Linked DNA regions of Canis lupus familiaris. The protein of the gene in region 2 purifies or fractionates together with the protein of the main gene of each other region. This does not show direct contact. Links are inferred from orthologs where the notes say so. Each region holds a gene or a part of one and is shown on either strand. Other genes may lie near its edges.

The links.
Region 1: the proteins of NIPSNAP2 (region 2) and HADHA purify together in Homo sapiens (affinity purification with mass spectrometry; 3 studies listed by BioGRID and IntAct, with this or other methods). This does not show direct contact. The link is inferred for Canis lupus familiaris from reciprocal best matches to the Homo sapiens genes NIPSNAP2 and HADHA.

Annotation. Positions count from the first base shown.
Region 1 is NC_049238.1:20,393,930-20,401,223, forward strand, and holds part of HADHA (trifunctional enzyme subunit alpha, mitochondrial), read right to left. Parts: intron 3,566-7,294; coding exon 3,443-3,565; intron 2,974-3,442; coding exon 2,855-2,973; intron 189-2,854; coding exon 132-188; intron 1-131. UniProt on the Homo sapiens protein: Mitochondrial trifunctional enzyme catalyzes the last three of the four reactions of the mitochondrial beta-oxidation pathway.
Region 2 is NC_049227.1:375,080-382,373, reverse strand, and holds part of NIPSNAP2 (protein NipSnap homolog 2), read right to left. Parts: intron 4,837-7,294; coding exon 4,697-4,836; intron 4,615-4,696; coding exon 4,569-4,614; intron 1,437-4,568; coding exon 1,342-1,436; intron 988-1,341; coding exon 917-987; intron 112-916; coding exon 1-111. UniProt on the Homo sapiens protein: Protein involved in mitophagy by facilitating recruitment of the autophagy machinery required for clearance of damaged mitochondria.

The DNA.
Region 1 (7,294 bases), on a different chromosome or scaffold from region 2:
AGAAATGATAGTCACCAGAAGAAAAACATTTTAGATAGACTTTGGGTACCTTTCCTTTTCTCAGCTTTATAAAAAGTTCTAGATCTTGGTTTTTCAGTAGCTAATAAAAAATTCAAAGGAAAGAACTTTACCTGAGATTCAGAGAGATAGCCAGCATCGTTCCCTTGCTCAATTCCAGTCTTTACCACCTAAAAAACACATAAAGCATTTGTTCATTGTTGCAAGGGATGGGCGAGATGCTCACTACCGTGAGTAAAACTGCTAGTTCATCAGTCTTCAAAGAGTAAGCCAAAAGTCTGGAAGCGGAGTAAGAAAGACAAGAGGACTGAATGGCTGCTTGCTTAAGACTTACTTTATTCTTGGGCCACCTGGGGGGCTCAGTTGGTTGAACATCTGCATTTGGCTCAGGTCATGATCCTAAGGTCCTGGGATGGAGCTCAGGAGGTCTGCTTCTCCCTCTGCCTATCCCCTCATTTGTGCTCACTCTCTTGCTCTTTTTTCCCCCTCTCTCAAATAAATGAATAAGTCTTAAAAAAGTTAAAAAAAAAAAAAAAAAAGACTGACTTCATTTTCCATCTCCAAGACTACTACTAAAACTAGTATAAAATGGAAGGAAATGAAATAGAAGAAAGTAATAAAAGTCAGAATGGGAAAAGATGACAGAGGTCCCACAGCTCAAACTCTTATCTCCTTATCCACTTCTAGACCACTATCCCAGCAGAGAAAAAGCTGCCACTGGCACTGCTCAAGTCTGAGAAAAGGTTTCCCCTTCCTTCTTGCTAAAATGGCTCTTCCAGCTTCTCTCTTGCTCTCCTACGTTAGTAGGCACATCCCCATAGTTACACTCTCAGCCCTTTTCTCCTTCCGTGCATTCTTCCTCAGGCCGATGGTCTCCTCTGTCATGTTACTCATGAATTCTATAAATTCAACTTAACATTTGAGGGAAGTCCTATCCTAAGTCCAAGTATAAAAGTCGAATTGACCCTGTATTCAATCACCACAATTTATGAGAAGGAAAAGTGGATATATATATACAAAAAAAACCAACCCACATATGAACAAATCTACATTCTTTATTTTTTTTATTTTTTATTTTTATTTATTTATTTTTTTTGGTTAAAAATTTTTTTAAATTTATTTTTTATTGGTATTCAATTTACCAACATACAGAATAACCCCCAGTGCCCGTCACCCATTCACTCCCACCCCTCGCCCTCCTCCCCTTCTACCACCCCTAGTTCGTTTCCCAGAGTTAGCAGTCTTTACGTTGTCTCCCTTTCTGATATTTCCCACACATTTCTTCTCCCTTCCCTTATATTCCCTTTCACTATTATTTATATTCCCCAAATGAATGAGAACATATAATGTTTGTCCTTCTCCGATTGACTTACTTCACTCAGCACAAATCTACATTCTTATCTTTTGTGTAAACTGTCACTTGAATTTCCTGAAACATCTAAACTCAGCACTTCTAAGACTTAACTCATAATCTCTTCTCTTTGGCAAGTCTCTTACTACCTTCACCTCTTTACTAATCTATCTTGGTAATGTCAAGTCTGAATGACCAAGATAGCTTCCAACTTCAAGTCTCTACTTGTCTCTCTTTCTAAATTGTTTATGACTTACTAGGACTATTATCTCTATGATCTATACAGGATGAAGGTCAAATTTCCAAATTCATTATTGTCCAAGTTCTAAAATCTAGGTTCATTTGGCCTTTTTGCACACATTTCAGTATCCTACAAAATCTGATCTCATTAAATGTTCCTTGAAGAACCTCATGCTTTCCAGCTTCTGTAACTTTGCTCAAAATGCCCACCCTACCTGGTACCACTTTCTCTTCACTTTCCAGGGCTCAGGTCAAATTCTATGATGCTCTGGGATGCCTGGGTGGCTCAGCGGTTGAGCATCTGCCTTTAGCTCAGGGCGTGATCCCGGGTCTGGGGATCGAGTCCCACATTGGGTTCTCTGTGGGGAGCATGCTTCTCCCTCTGCCTCTTTCTCTGTGTGTCTCATGAATAAATAAATCAAATCTTAAAAAAAATTATAGGAGGCTCTTCCTAATCTCTCTGGCTTACAGTGACTGTTGCCTCCTCTGTGCATTTAGCAATCTTCCTCTGTTCAATTATCTGGCAGTGATCCCAGGGTGGCATCTAACATCCCTTCCATTAGTTACCTGTCCCAGCACAGACACACATCTAATCTCCCCAAACTGGGAGATGGGTGTGAGAAGGGAATCATGTGTCCTATTTATGCATTTTGGTGTCTTTCCTCAAAATATATTTGTTGGCTGATTTATTGCCCATTTTCAAAGTCTTAGATTACATGTTCTCTTAATCTTAGATACTAAAGACTGAAGACTAAAGAGTTTCTAAGTTTTAAAGTCTACCTTTAGACAGAAGTTCTTAACCCTGTGATCATTTTATTTATCCTCCTTGATCTTTTTCAGAACTTTTCTGTATCATTACATTTTTTTGATAATTACAGCAATGGGGAAGTCAATAAGGCATTTTAGGTACTGCAATGTTTTCAACCGAGGCCATCAATTTTGTTTCAACTACCTTTTAATTAATGCCCAGGATTTCACTGGCCTTGTTATTCTGATATAACAGGTTTTCTATTTTTTCCTGTTTTATAACTGGTAGTTTTAAATTCCTTATGCCCAGCACTCATTATCCCCAAAATAATCAGTTTATGAGCCCTCATGGCTTGCTTGCTTTATTTTTAGTGAGTACTGTAATAACAGAATTAAGAACTATAGTACCAGAAGACATAGTTCGGAATGGCAATAAAGAATACTGCTCTATAAAGGGAGGAAACATGAGAAATGTGGGAATATGGGGTGAAGACTCACATCGATTATTTTCAGAGGTGCAGGATAAAGGCCTTTGGTCTGTTTTCGTACTTTTTCTTCCACCTTTTTGTAAACCTGTTGTCTGACAAAAGGAATACTCAGGGCATATGACGTCAATTCTGCAAAAGAAAATGGTTTTTAGATACTTACTGGAAAAAGCCTAGTCTCCCTTCTTAGTTTGTTCTGTAAACTCCATAAAAATGCAGTAATTGTAGCTATCTGAAAGAACTTTTCACTTTGATATACAAAATCCAAATTGCAACCTAAGCACTTCTATACACATGGTTTAATTAGTTGATAAATACTAAAGTTGGGTGTTGGGTGCATGGGTGTTTATTACAGTATTATATATTATTCTGCTTTTGTATTAATGCTTCAAATTTTCCAAAATAAAAAATTGAAAAAAAACATGGCTGTAACCAACCAGTGTAAGGTTTAGGACTTGAACCTAGAGCAGTTGTTACACTCCTTAAGGATGACTCTATACTTAGAGTAAAAAAAAAAAAACGCATTTACCTCCTCATTTTATAACAAAATTAAACTCTCTGGAGAGAACCTTTGCCTTAGTTCTTTAATAATGACACTCACTTTCTACTAATCCCTTGTCTCTCTTTATGGAGATTTTCTTATCAGATAGTCCTTTGGCAAAATTAACTGCAACTTCTTCTAAGTATTCAATTGTCCGTTCCTCTGGAGGTTTTAATCCTGGTCCTGTAAAAATGAACACAACAGATTAGAATGTAAATCATTTTCAGCATAGCTTTCCATGTTATACTAGAGACTGGTAGGTGCCAAGTTATGAGCTATGGACTCAAAGAATATAAGAAGTAACACTGAGCAAGGGTGTAACAATGTACTCTAGATAGAAAACCAGGTCTTAAGTCTGGCTTCCATTTCTGAGTAGGATGTAGAATGTCTCATGAGGCCTGTATTCTTGCTGCAAAACTGCAGACAAAAATGAATAAACTGTAAAACCACACATTCATAAAGCTATGAGAGAGTGGTAGAAGCAATGAGGACCATATGAACTAAAATTCCAGACAGGGAAGAGCTTGCCTGAAGTGAACTGATGATTGCTGGATGTTTTCTTTTCTGAGGTTATATGATTCTTTTGGGCATGGGCTGAAGATTAGAGTTGGCTCAAGCAGAAGGATGCTCCTGGGAGCAAGTGAAATGATCAGTTTTAGGAGGTCATGTACAATACATTATAAGCTAGAAGAAACCAAATGCAAAGCTAGTCTTTCCCCATGGAACATTCATGGAATTCTAAGGTGGTATAGGAGGCTGGAAGGGCTGGGTCAAAGAGCTGGAGGGAAATCTCTCACAGTGTGATGATGTGTAGCACATAAAGTACTTCTATAGAGAAAGGAATATGCCAATAATAATGTAACTCATTTTCTACTTAAGGCATCTACTCTATACTGAACTTGTTTGAGGAAAGAGACTAAAGAGATAGGCTCCGAAATTCCAAAGGCTATTTTTACAGGGTTGTGTAAACAGACATCCTGTGTCTATTGGTGACTGGGGTTCAAAAGGCAATTTTGTGCAGTCTTGTGGTATGAAGGAAACAAAATCCCAATAGTAAAAGGAGGCTGAAACAAATTTGCAATCATATTTTTATCTCTCTTATGATACATGCCCTATTGTGAAAGTATGTGAAAGAGGATGAAAAAGAAAAGCCTTGGGATGCCCGGGTGGCTCAGATGGTTAAGGAATCTGTCTTTGGGCACAGGTCATGATTGTAGGGTCTGGGATGGAGCCCTGAATTGGGCTCTCTGCTCAGCGGGGAGTCTGTTTCTCCCTCTTCCTGCCACTCCCCCTGCTTGTGCTCTCTCTGTGTGTCTCAAATGAATAACAAAAACAAAAAGCTCCAACTTGTGAGAGGTAAAAATGCAGAGGGCCCACAAAAGTCTCAAGGAGCCTGCAGGGAGGCCAGTGCAGCTGGAACCTGTGGAGTAGAGTCCTGGAGGGCAGCTGCTCCACAAAAGGAGGACTCCAGGTACCTACAGAGGGCCCCTGAAACTCTGGATGAGTACTGTTAACCACGTGCATGAGATGAAACTGCAAGAGGCAAACTGACTGATACAAACATGCAGAAATGAAGACAGAAGTAGCAGACAATGTTAGAAAGGCTATTATTGTAAATGCATGCTATACATTCAAGAAGGTAGAGGAAAGCAGAAACATAATGAAGAGAAACTGAATACATAAAAGTGAATCAAATGTTACTTCTAGATAGGAAATGAAAGATACACAAGATTGGGTTAATAGTAGATTATACACCAAAGAAAAAAAGATCAGGAAACTTGAATACATGGCAATAGAAAATATACAGATGGAAAAAGAAAAATTGCTTCATTTTGGGACCGTATCAAGTAAATCTAACATAGGTGAAGTTGGAGCTGCAGAGAAGGGGTGGGGGGAAGATGGGAAAATATTGGAATTAATGGCCAAAAAGTTTCCAATTTGGTCAAAACTACAAATCCACTATCCAAGAAACTCAATGAATGCCATGCCCAATGAACATTAAAAAACAACAGTAACTATAGCAACAACAACAAACCAAGATACACCATAACACATGATTAAGACTAAGTAATAAAGGGAAGATCTGACAGTGGGGGCAAGGGCGGTGAAGGGGAGAGACACATTATAAACAGAAGAACAAAGATAAAAATGAGAACAGACTTTCTATCAGAAATTATGCAAGCCATGACATGATGTTGACACATCCATAAAGTACCCCCCCCAAAAAATAAATAAAGTACAAGAACCTAGAATTCTGTGGCACTCAAGAATATCTTTAGAAAAATAAGTGGAAATAAAGGCTGTCAAACAAATCAAAAGGTGAGAGACTCCATTGCCAGCAGACCTATGCGACTGAATATGTCAAGTTCTTCAGGTTGGAGGAAAATCAAACCAGATGGGAACTTGGAGCTATACAAAGAAAGAGCACTCAAAATGGTAACCATGTGGGTATATATAGAAAACTCTCTTCTCATTTTTAATCTCCTTAAAAGATGACTATTGAAAACAAAGATAGCAATATGCTGAGGAATATATAATATATTTAGAAATGAAATGTTGAGACACTGATACCATTTGCAGTAGAAAATCTGTTATAACTTTTGATGCCCCCAAAACTTAACTACCAATAGCCTACTACTGATCAGAAGGTGTACCAATAACATAAATAGTTGATAACATATTTTGTGTATGTATTACATACTGTATTCCTATAATAAAGTAAGCTACGGGAAAAAAAAGTTAAGAAAAAAAGGAACTACGTTTACAGTACTATATAAAAATCTGTGTGTAAATGGACCCACACAGTTTGAACTTATATCATACAAGGGTCAACTGTATATTCTTTTAAGGTTCTTACCTTATAGGTAAAATGATACATCATTTCCAGATAGATCATATGTTAAGGATATAGACTATAAACCTTAGAGTAACCATTAAAAGGGTAAAGCAAAGTAAAAGCCCAATAGTGAGGGTAAAAAATTACTAATCCAAATGAAAGAAGGAAGGAAAAACAGGACAAATAGAAAACAAGTAGCATCAAATGAAGTTGAAATGCTAGAACTGTGTTGGTATGCTGTAGAGGAAGCTAATGAAAGGCTTAAGGAAACTGGAATGTTAACGTGGATTTATGATGTTAGACCTGCTCAGCCAACCTGGAAAGGTTAGAGGACACATCTTTCACCATGACTGTAAGAAATCAATTTGGGGGAAGATGGCATGCTTGAAGGGCTGTGTCGTTATTCTTCTCTGTAGGTCACAAATCACAGTGGGAACTGCTACCATCAATTGGGATCCTAGGGTGGCTGAGGCCAAATAGCAACATTTAACTGCCAAAGGCAAACTGAGTATGGTTATCATAATGGACAGCAGAACCAAAGTAGTAATCAGAATAGTGTGACTTACAGAGACCTATAGCACTGGCTAGTTGATCATGGTGTCCCTAGGAAAGAAATAGATGGTAAGTCTACTATAGTCTTACTTGATCTGTATGAGAGAATTCTAGTTCTAGTAAATAGAGGTATAACCTAAACCACCAAAGAAAGTCATGGGCCCTCATCATTTCCCTGCAATGAGTCAGTTTACAGACCCAGAACCTCTTGAATTAAGGGGAGGTTGCATTTCCATAATGGGAATATACTGTTAATCTTCCTCCCAGCCTTCCCCAAAGGGATCCTATATGGTCATTAACCTTGGGGAAAGGGAAATATAGTAATCAGATTTTGGGTGGGATTACTGGACACTGGCTCTGAACTGATGCTAATTCCAGGAGACCCAAAATATCTCTCTAGGTTCACCAGTCAGATTGGGGCTTATAAAGTCAAGAAATCCATGGAGTTTTAGTTCAGTTCTATCTCACAGTGGGCTTACTGGATCCCTGAACCCATCCTGTGGTTATTTCTAGAATGCATAATT
Region 2 (7,294 bases):
ATTAGGTCCTGACCGTGGGATAGGCTCATTCCAGAAACTGAATTCCAACAGCAGCTGATTCTTCCTAGAGAGAAGCATGTTGCTTCTTGCCTTGCGGAATTCCACAAATTCCTTTGAGGGAAAAAATGTGCTGATGATATCCTTTAGTGTTTACATATAAACCCATTTTTGTATCATTTATGTTCCTCCTATAATAGAATACTATCATAAATAGGGTCCTAGGTGGCCTGAGACAGCCCCCAGCTTACATTTTGTTGAACTGGCAAAATAACTATTAGCATTCACTTTCACTCTCAAAAGTATCCAGGTTTAGATGACAAACTACATAGCCATCCTAATTATTTAAATAACAATGTAAGCAAATTCAATTTCCTACATTTTTGAGTTCTCCTAACAGTGTCTGACAACATATTAATAGAAGTGACACAGAGACTACAAAATACCAGATGGTCCAAAAGCCACTTATATTTGGACTGGGAATCTATCTACACAAAAGGTTTTCTTTCCTAATAATGTGTGGCTGTTAAAATTCTCTTCATTGACCTGCACCTATTACTGAAGGGAGGGGGAGGAAGGAAGTCAGCCCAAGGGAGAGACTATGTGGCTGGCAGTTCCTGAAGCAGATTAAGTGTTGGGTAATCCAGGGCTGACTGTGTCTACCATGCTGACTTACTGGCATGAAAGTACTAGCTCACGAGTTTCAAAATACAACTGACTTTTACAATAAGAACTGCTATGTTAATAGTATTACAACTGGTTAATTATGTTTTGATACAACTTTAAGAATCCAAATAATAAAACTTTTACTACAAAAAAATTTATTAATATTAAAAAAATGATGATAGAAAAGTCATTTAATTATGTCCTATCATTTATTACATCACTAGTCTGAATAAACATTTTTCAAAATCACTACCTGATTTTCTCTGAGTTTATTCATGACTTCTGTGAGGGCTGGATAGCCTCCTTCATACCTCCAGAGGTGGACTGAAATATATTTTTAAAAGGTAACATACATTTAGAGTTTCATGATACTCCTTACCTTGAAAATAATCTACATATACACAATGTTAACATCATACGAAACTGTAATGAGCCACGTGTTGGCATATGAGTTACACCATAGAGTTTCAATAATGGATTCAAATGTTAAAGCAAAAAAAAACCAAAAAATTAGTAGTTTTTGCAATCAGTTGCTGGATAAACTACTTTAACAATAAAACTAGACTAAGACTTATAAGGCTTTGATTATAAAAACAAGCATTAAATTTAGTATTATTTAGGTCATTAACAGTAAAGGCTTGGGGACAAAGGTTTATTCCAAAGACTTCTGCTTCCTACCAGCTTGATCCTGCTCGCCATACCACGTGTTCCAAGTCCCCACCAAAGTACAAGGGTAATGCTTATCTTCGTGAATCTTTGGCAACACCTCTTGACTTAAAGAGAAGAAATAGCAACACTAATTAAACTGACAAGATTATACCAGGTAGACAACACATGGTCAGCAGTAGGAAAAAGGCCATCTACTCTGACAACTGATCTCAGAATATATTTATGATAAAATGATGTACAGAATTAAACTTTTAGCTGAATTCTGCTGCACTCTAATTTTCCACTTATCAGACAGAGGCTTAGGTTTCTGTTATCCCAACTACCTAGAATAGTTGTAAACAACTCAAGTACAGTGATAAAAATGGATAAGGAAGAGCCAAAGGTCCCAGGATTCCAGGAACTACATGGGTCTACTATTTGCTATTTCAGGAGGGGGGCGGATGGGAGAAGTACCTAGGAAGGGTGAAGTCTCTAAAAGCTAAGTTCTGCTGGTTCCCAAGACAAGAAGGAGAGAAACAGGAATAGTAGAAAAACAGCACAGAAGAAATAAGAGAAGAAAGTAATGTTTAAGATCGGGAGACAACAGAAGCAGCATGAGCAGGCAGCTAGCAGAGGCAGAGAACAAGCTGGCTGTAAGGAGGAAGAGGATGGAGCTAGAACACAATAGAATCCGGAAGCAACGCAGCTCCAACTGTCCCAGAGGGCATCAACATGGCAGAAGAATCCAAATTAAAATGCAACATGGACCATAACATGGGTTCGATTCCATTTAACCAGCAGACAGGATTTAACAAGTACCATATAATCCCATGTTGCATCCCACCCCACCCCTGCAGTTCATTACCAGGGGTTGTACAGGAGCAGTGGCAAAGCTGTGACAGGTCCTGGCAGTATGTTAATTTAACCATGGAAACCTTTGTATGGTACAGATTAGTATACAGAGCAAGGCAAAAGGAAGAGCCATAACTGTGCCATCCCAAAATAAAAGCTAAACATGCATATTTTTTGAAGAGAAAAATTATGTACAGTACAGATTCAACAATAAATGCAAAAGGATTTCAAGGGTCAGAAATGGAACCTGTTCCAACTATTTGTTGACACTGAGTGCCAATTAAGTGAGTGATCACTATCAGAGGCTGGGCCACCAGAACTGAGTGCACATGCAATTAAGAGAGAAAAGCTCAGAATTGTCTCTAATGTCTAGCTAAATGAAAACCCATACATGTTTATGACCCAGTACAATGACCACATTTTTTTTTAAAGATTTTATTTATTTATTCATGAGAGACACACAGAGAGAGAGGCAGAGACACAGACAGAGGGAGAAGCAGGCTCCCTGTGGGGAAACCGACGCGGGACTTGATCCCGGATCCCAGGATCACACCCTGGACTGAAGGCAGATACTCAACCGCTGGGCCACCCAGGGATCCCCTAATGACCACATTTTGAAGGGTGAAATGCCACCCTTCAAAAAATACATATGGTGTGATCATCGTACTGGGTCAAAAAGATTAATATTAGAAATAACATGGGACTGATAGAAATCAGGGGTGGGGAAAAATGGATTATGTGAAGTTATTGGAAATGGATTTCCTTTTTTGTCATGACAACCCTGAATGGGAGCCAGTGTAGAAGAAAACCTGTACAGATGACCCACGTGGAGTCCAGAAAGGGGCTGGGGCCTGATGATGGGGCCCAGGTTTTTCACCAATACGAAGGCATATCTTTTTTGCTGGGGACTCCAAAGCTGTTCTGGGAAACCCTGGCCTTACATGAATGACAGCTGTAAGGCAGGTAGTACTTGTACTCAGAATTGGATGCGCTGGGCAGAACCTCATCATTGGGCCCCTAAAAACCAGGAAGGAGTTAAGTCTTTATATACTGGAAACAGGGAGCTGCTGAAAGTATCAGAGAAAAGAAAAAAACATGATGCAGGGAAAGCAGACTCAGGGAGATCAATTTGACAAACTTCGAAGTAATGGATTGGGTGTGGGGCAAGGTACAGATACAACCTTGAGGCCAAGAAGGCAGTCAAAAAGGATGCTACTTAGAAATGGGGCTTAACCAGCTGGGAGAGGGAGATGGAGAAGGAGATGAAACGAATCAAAATGCGTATCAAATGAAGAATGCACCAATTGCATAGGACTAAGGAAAAGGTTAAATAAAACCATGGTGAGTGACATATGTGAGAAGAGTCAGGTGATTCTAATGTTGAGGTTGAAGGCAGAGAAAGACATCTGAATGGAAATATGAATAGACAGGAGATGAATATCTGAGACAGGAGATGAAGTGATACAAACAGGACAAGAAAGATAATCCAGGGAAACATTACCACGGACAAGAAATTTCATTTTAGGAAAAAAGATTTAGAAGTAAGATCTGCTTTGTCTTAGGACATTTTTAAATAAAAAGAACTGTGTTGAGGTGATTAAGAAACTCTATGCTAATGTTATATTTCACGAATCACCTCCCAAAATAACAAAAGATTTTTGCATCTGAAAATTATACTGATTCTGGTGACAAAATCATTTGCTTTTTCATGAAGGTAGCAGATAAGAAAGGTAAAAAAAATGCTTTTAAATGATACTTGCTCAAAATCAATCATTAAAATACAATTTGCTACCTTAAATGAGAACAAATGCACTTAATTCTCTCTTTAGTCTTGAAGTTTACAAATTCTGTAAGAGCATATGGATCTCATTATTGTTTGGGAATCTGCCAAAGGGACTTTAATCCTGGTAACTGGAAGACTTGAGAAGAAATGGTGGCTATATTCAAATACATATAGGACTTTCATGTGAAATTTTACTCAGGAGTAAAGCTGGAAACAATGGAGGTCGAGGTCACCAGGGTGTGAGTTCTAATTCCTAACACTAAAAGCTGTCCAGAGATGGAATGTATGAATGTACTTAAACACAGGCAGTCATGAAGATCTGCAGAAAGGACTCAAGCACGGATGAGTAGATGGACTAGATGGCCTTACAAGGTACCTGCTTCCAACCTTAAGAGGCTGGAACATTCTAACGTCTGAGCACTTATGTGATAAGTTAGCCGTGTGAGTCCTTAAAATCAAAATGTCCTTGGCAATCCCACACAAAGCTCAATTTAAGAGCCTCTGAACATTCAGCTTCAAGAAGAGGGATCAAAGATCTCACTCTGCTGTCTAGTGTTAGCTGAACCAACAAATATTCAAATTGTTAATTTTCCCCAAGTAAAGTATAGTCTGGTATACACACCAAATTTTGTTGTATGCTTCTAGGCATTCCGGTTTAACATTGTGAACTGAAACAAAAGAAAATTCAACGATAAACTTATGAACAAAGGGAAAAAAGTCAACTATGAAGATAGCAAACCTATCACTCACACTGCAATTTATATAGACTGCTTGTTTCCTTTTTGGCCAGGAGATTAGAGTGAGCATCTTTTCTTGGATCAACTTTCCGGACAAATAAGGATTTTAACCAGCTGTCTTCTCGAGGTCTATTATTGGAGGATGTCAATCTCCTATGGAATAACAAAATATAAAAATTTGAGTCTCATTAGTGGTATGAAGATTTTAGGATCTTGAGATAATGTCACATAGTACATTGTTTTCGTAAAAGCAATCCATTCAGCAAACACTCCTTGAGCACCTATTCTAGGCATTGTTATAGAACCTGGGGTACGCAAAATTCTGTTAGGATAGCATGCAATCTAAACAGCAGGAGCAAACTGTAAAAGATGTAACTTGTGTTTCTCCTAAGAGAGCTATTTTTTTTGTTTTAAAGTTATAACTATAGTTGGTATACAATGTTTTCAGGTGTACAACATACTGATTCAGTTATATATAAGTGCAGGTACCATCGGTCATCATCCAGCATTACCACAGTATTATTGACTATATTGTCCATGTTTTACTTTTTCATCTCTGTGACTTATTTTATAACTGGAAGTTTGCACTTTTTTTTTTTTTTAAGATTGTATTCATTTATTTGGGGGGTGGGGAGGGCGAGAGAGAGAATCTCAAGCAGGCTCCATGCCCAGTGCAAAGCCCGACCTGGAGCTTGACTTCGCGACTGAGATCATGACTTGAGCCAAAATTGGACACTTAACCAATGGAGCCACCCAGGTGCCCCTGGAAGCTTGCACCTCTTAATCCTACTTTGCCGATCTCCTCATCCTACCTCCCCTCTGGTAGTCACCAGTTTGTTTTCTACATTTAACAGTTGGTTTCTTTATTTGTTTTTTAGATTCCACATATAAGTGAAATTGTGTGGTATTTGTTTTTCTCTTATTTTACTTAGCACAATACCCTTCAGTTCCACCCATGTTGTCACAAATGGAAAGATCTTACTTTTTTATGGCTGAGTAATATTCCATTGTGTATATACATACCATATCTTTTTTTTTTTTTTATGATAGTCACACAGAGAGAGAGAGAGAGGCAGAGACACAGGAGGAGGGAGAAGCAGGCTCCATGCCGGGAGCCCGACGTGGGATTCGATCCCGGGTCTCCAGGATCGTGCCCTGGGCCAAAGGCAGGTGTCAAACCGCTGCGCCACCCAGGGTTCCCCATACCATATCTTTATCCATTCATCTATTGATAAACATTTGGGTTGCTTCCATATCTTGGCTATTGTAAATAATGCTGCAATAAATATATGGGTGCATGTATCTTTTTAAATGAGTTTGTTTTCTTTAGTTAAATACCCAGTAGTGGAATTACTAGATTGTATGGTATTTTTCTTTTTCCCTATATTCCTTAGGCTGTACCCCTCGTCCTTGTGCCTTATTCATAACTGGAAGCCCTGTACCTTCTACTCCTCTTTATGTTTCTAATAATTTTTTGAGGACCCCTCCATATTGTTTTCCACAACGGCCGAACCAATTTACATTCCCACCACTAGTGCATAAGGGTTCCCTTTTCTCCACATCCTTGCCAACACTTGTTATTTTTTATCTTTTTGATAATAGCCATTCTGACACATAGGTGATATTCACTGTACTTCTGATTTGCATTTCCCTGACGACTGTGATGCTGAATATCTTTTTACAGAGTTCATGTTTATCTTTGCCATTTTTGCTATGTGTTTTTCCCTGCTCCAAAGCAATTTCTGACCTAGAAAAAATACATATGGTAACCTAGAGTAGTTGAGTTCATAGAGAAAGAAAGTAATATAGTGGTTGCTAGGGGCTGAGGTGAGAGGAGAATGGGGAGTTACTGTTTAATGGGCACAGAGTTTGGGAAAGTGAGAGTTCTAGAGATGAATGGTTATAATGGTTGTACAACAGTGTGAATTTACTTAATGCTACTACTAAATTGTATACTTAAATATGACTAAAATAGTAAGTTCTATGTTATATGCACTTAACAACAATAAAAGGTAAAATATACAGGGAAAATGAAATAGATTCTTTCTTTAAAAATTTTTTTAAAAAAGATTTATTTATTTATGATAGAGAGAGAGAGAGAGAGGCAGAGACACAGGAGGAGGGAGAAGCAGGCTCCATGCTGGGAGCCCAATGCAGGACTCGATCCCGGGACTCCAGGATCGCGCCCTGGGCCAAAGGCAGGCGCCAAACCACTGAGCCACCCAGGGATCCCCTAGATTCTTTCTTTAAAAAATTATATTGGAGCACTCTGGGTGGCTCAGTTGGTTAAGTGTCTGATTTCACCACAGGTCATAGTCTTGGGGTCCTGGGATCAAGCCCAGAGTCGGGCTCCTTGCTTGGCAGGGAGTCTGCTTCTCCCTCTCCCTCTCCTCCAACTTGTTCTCACTCTCAAATAAATAAATGAAATCTTAAAAAAAATTAAAACACTATTTTACCCCTGAACTCAATTAACTTTAGAATCAAGTTTAACTCTAACATAAACCTAAGAATACAAATTTTATTGACACATAATTTTTAATTTTCACCTTATAACTGAATTTCTACTAATCTACATGCACTGGTATGCTGTTATTTCTGAAATAAATTATGT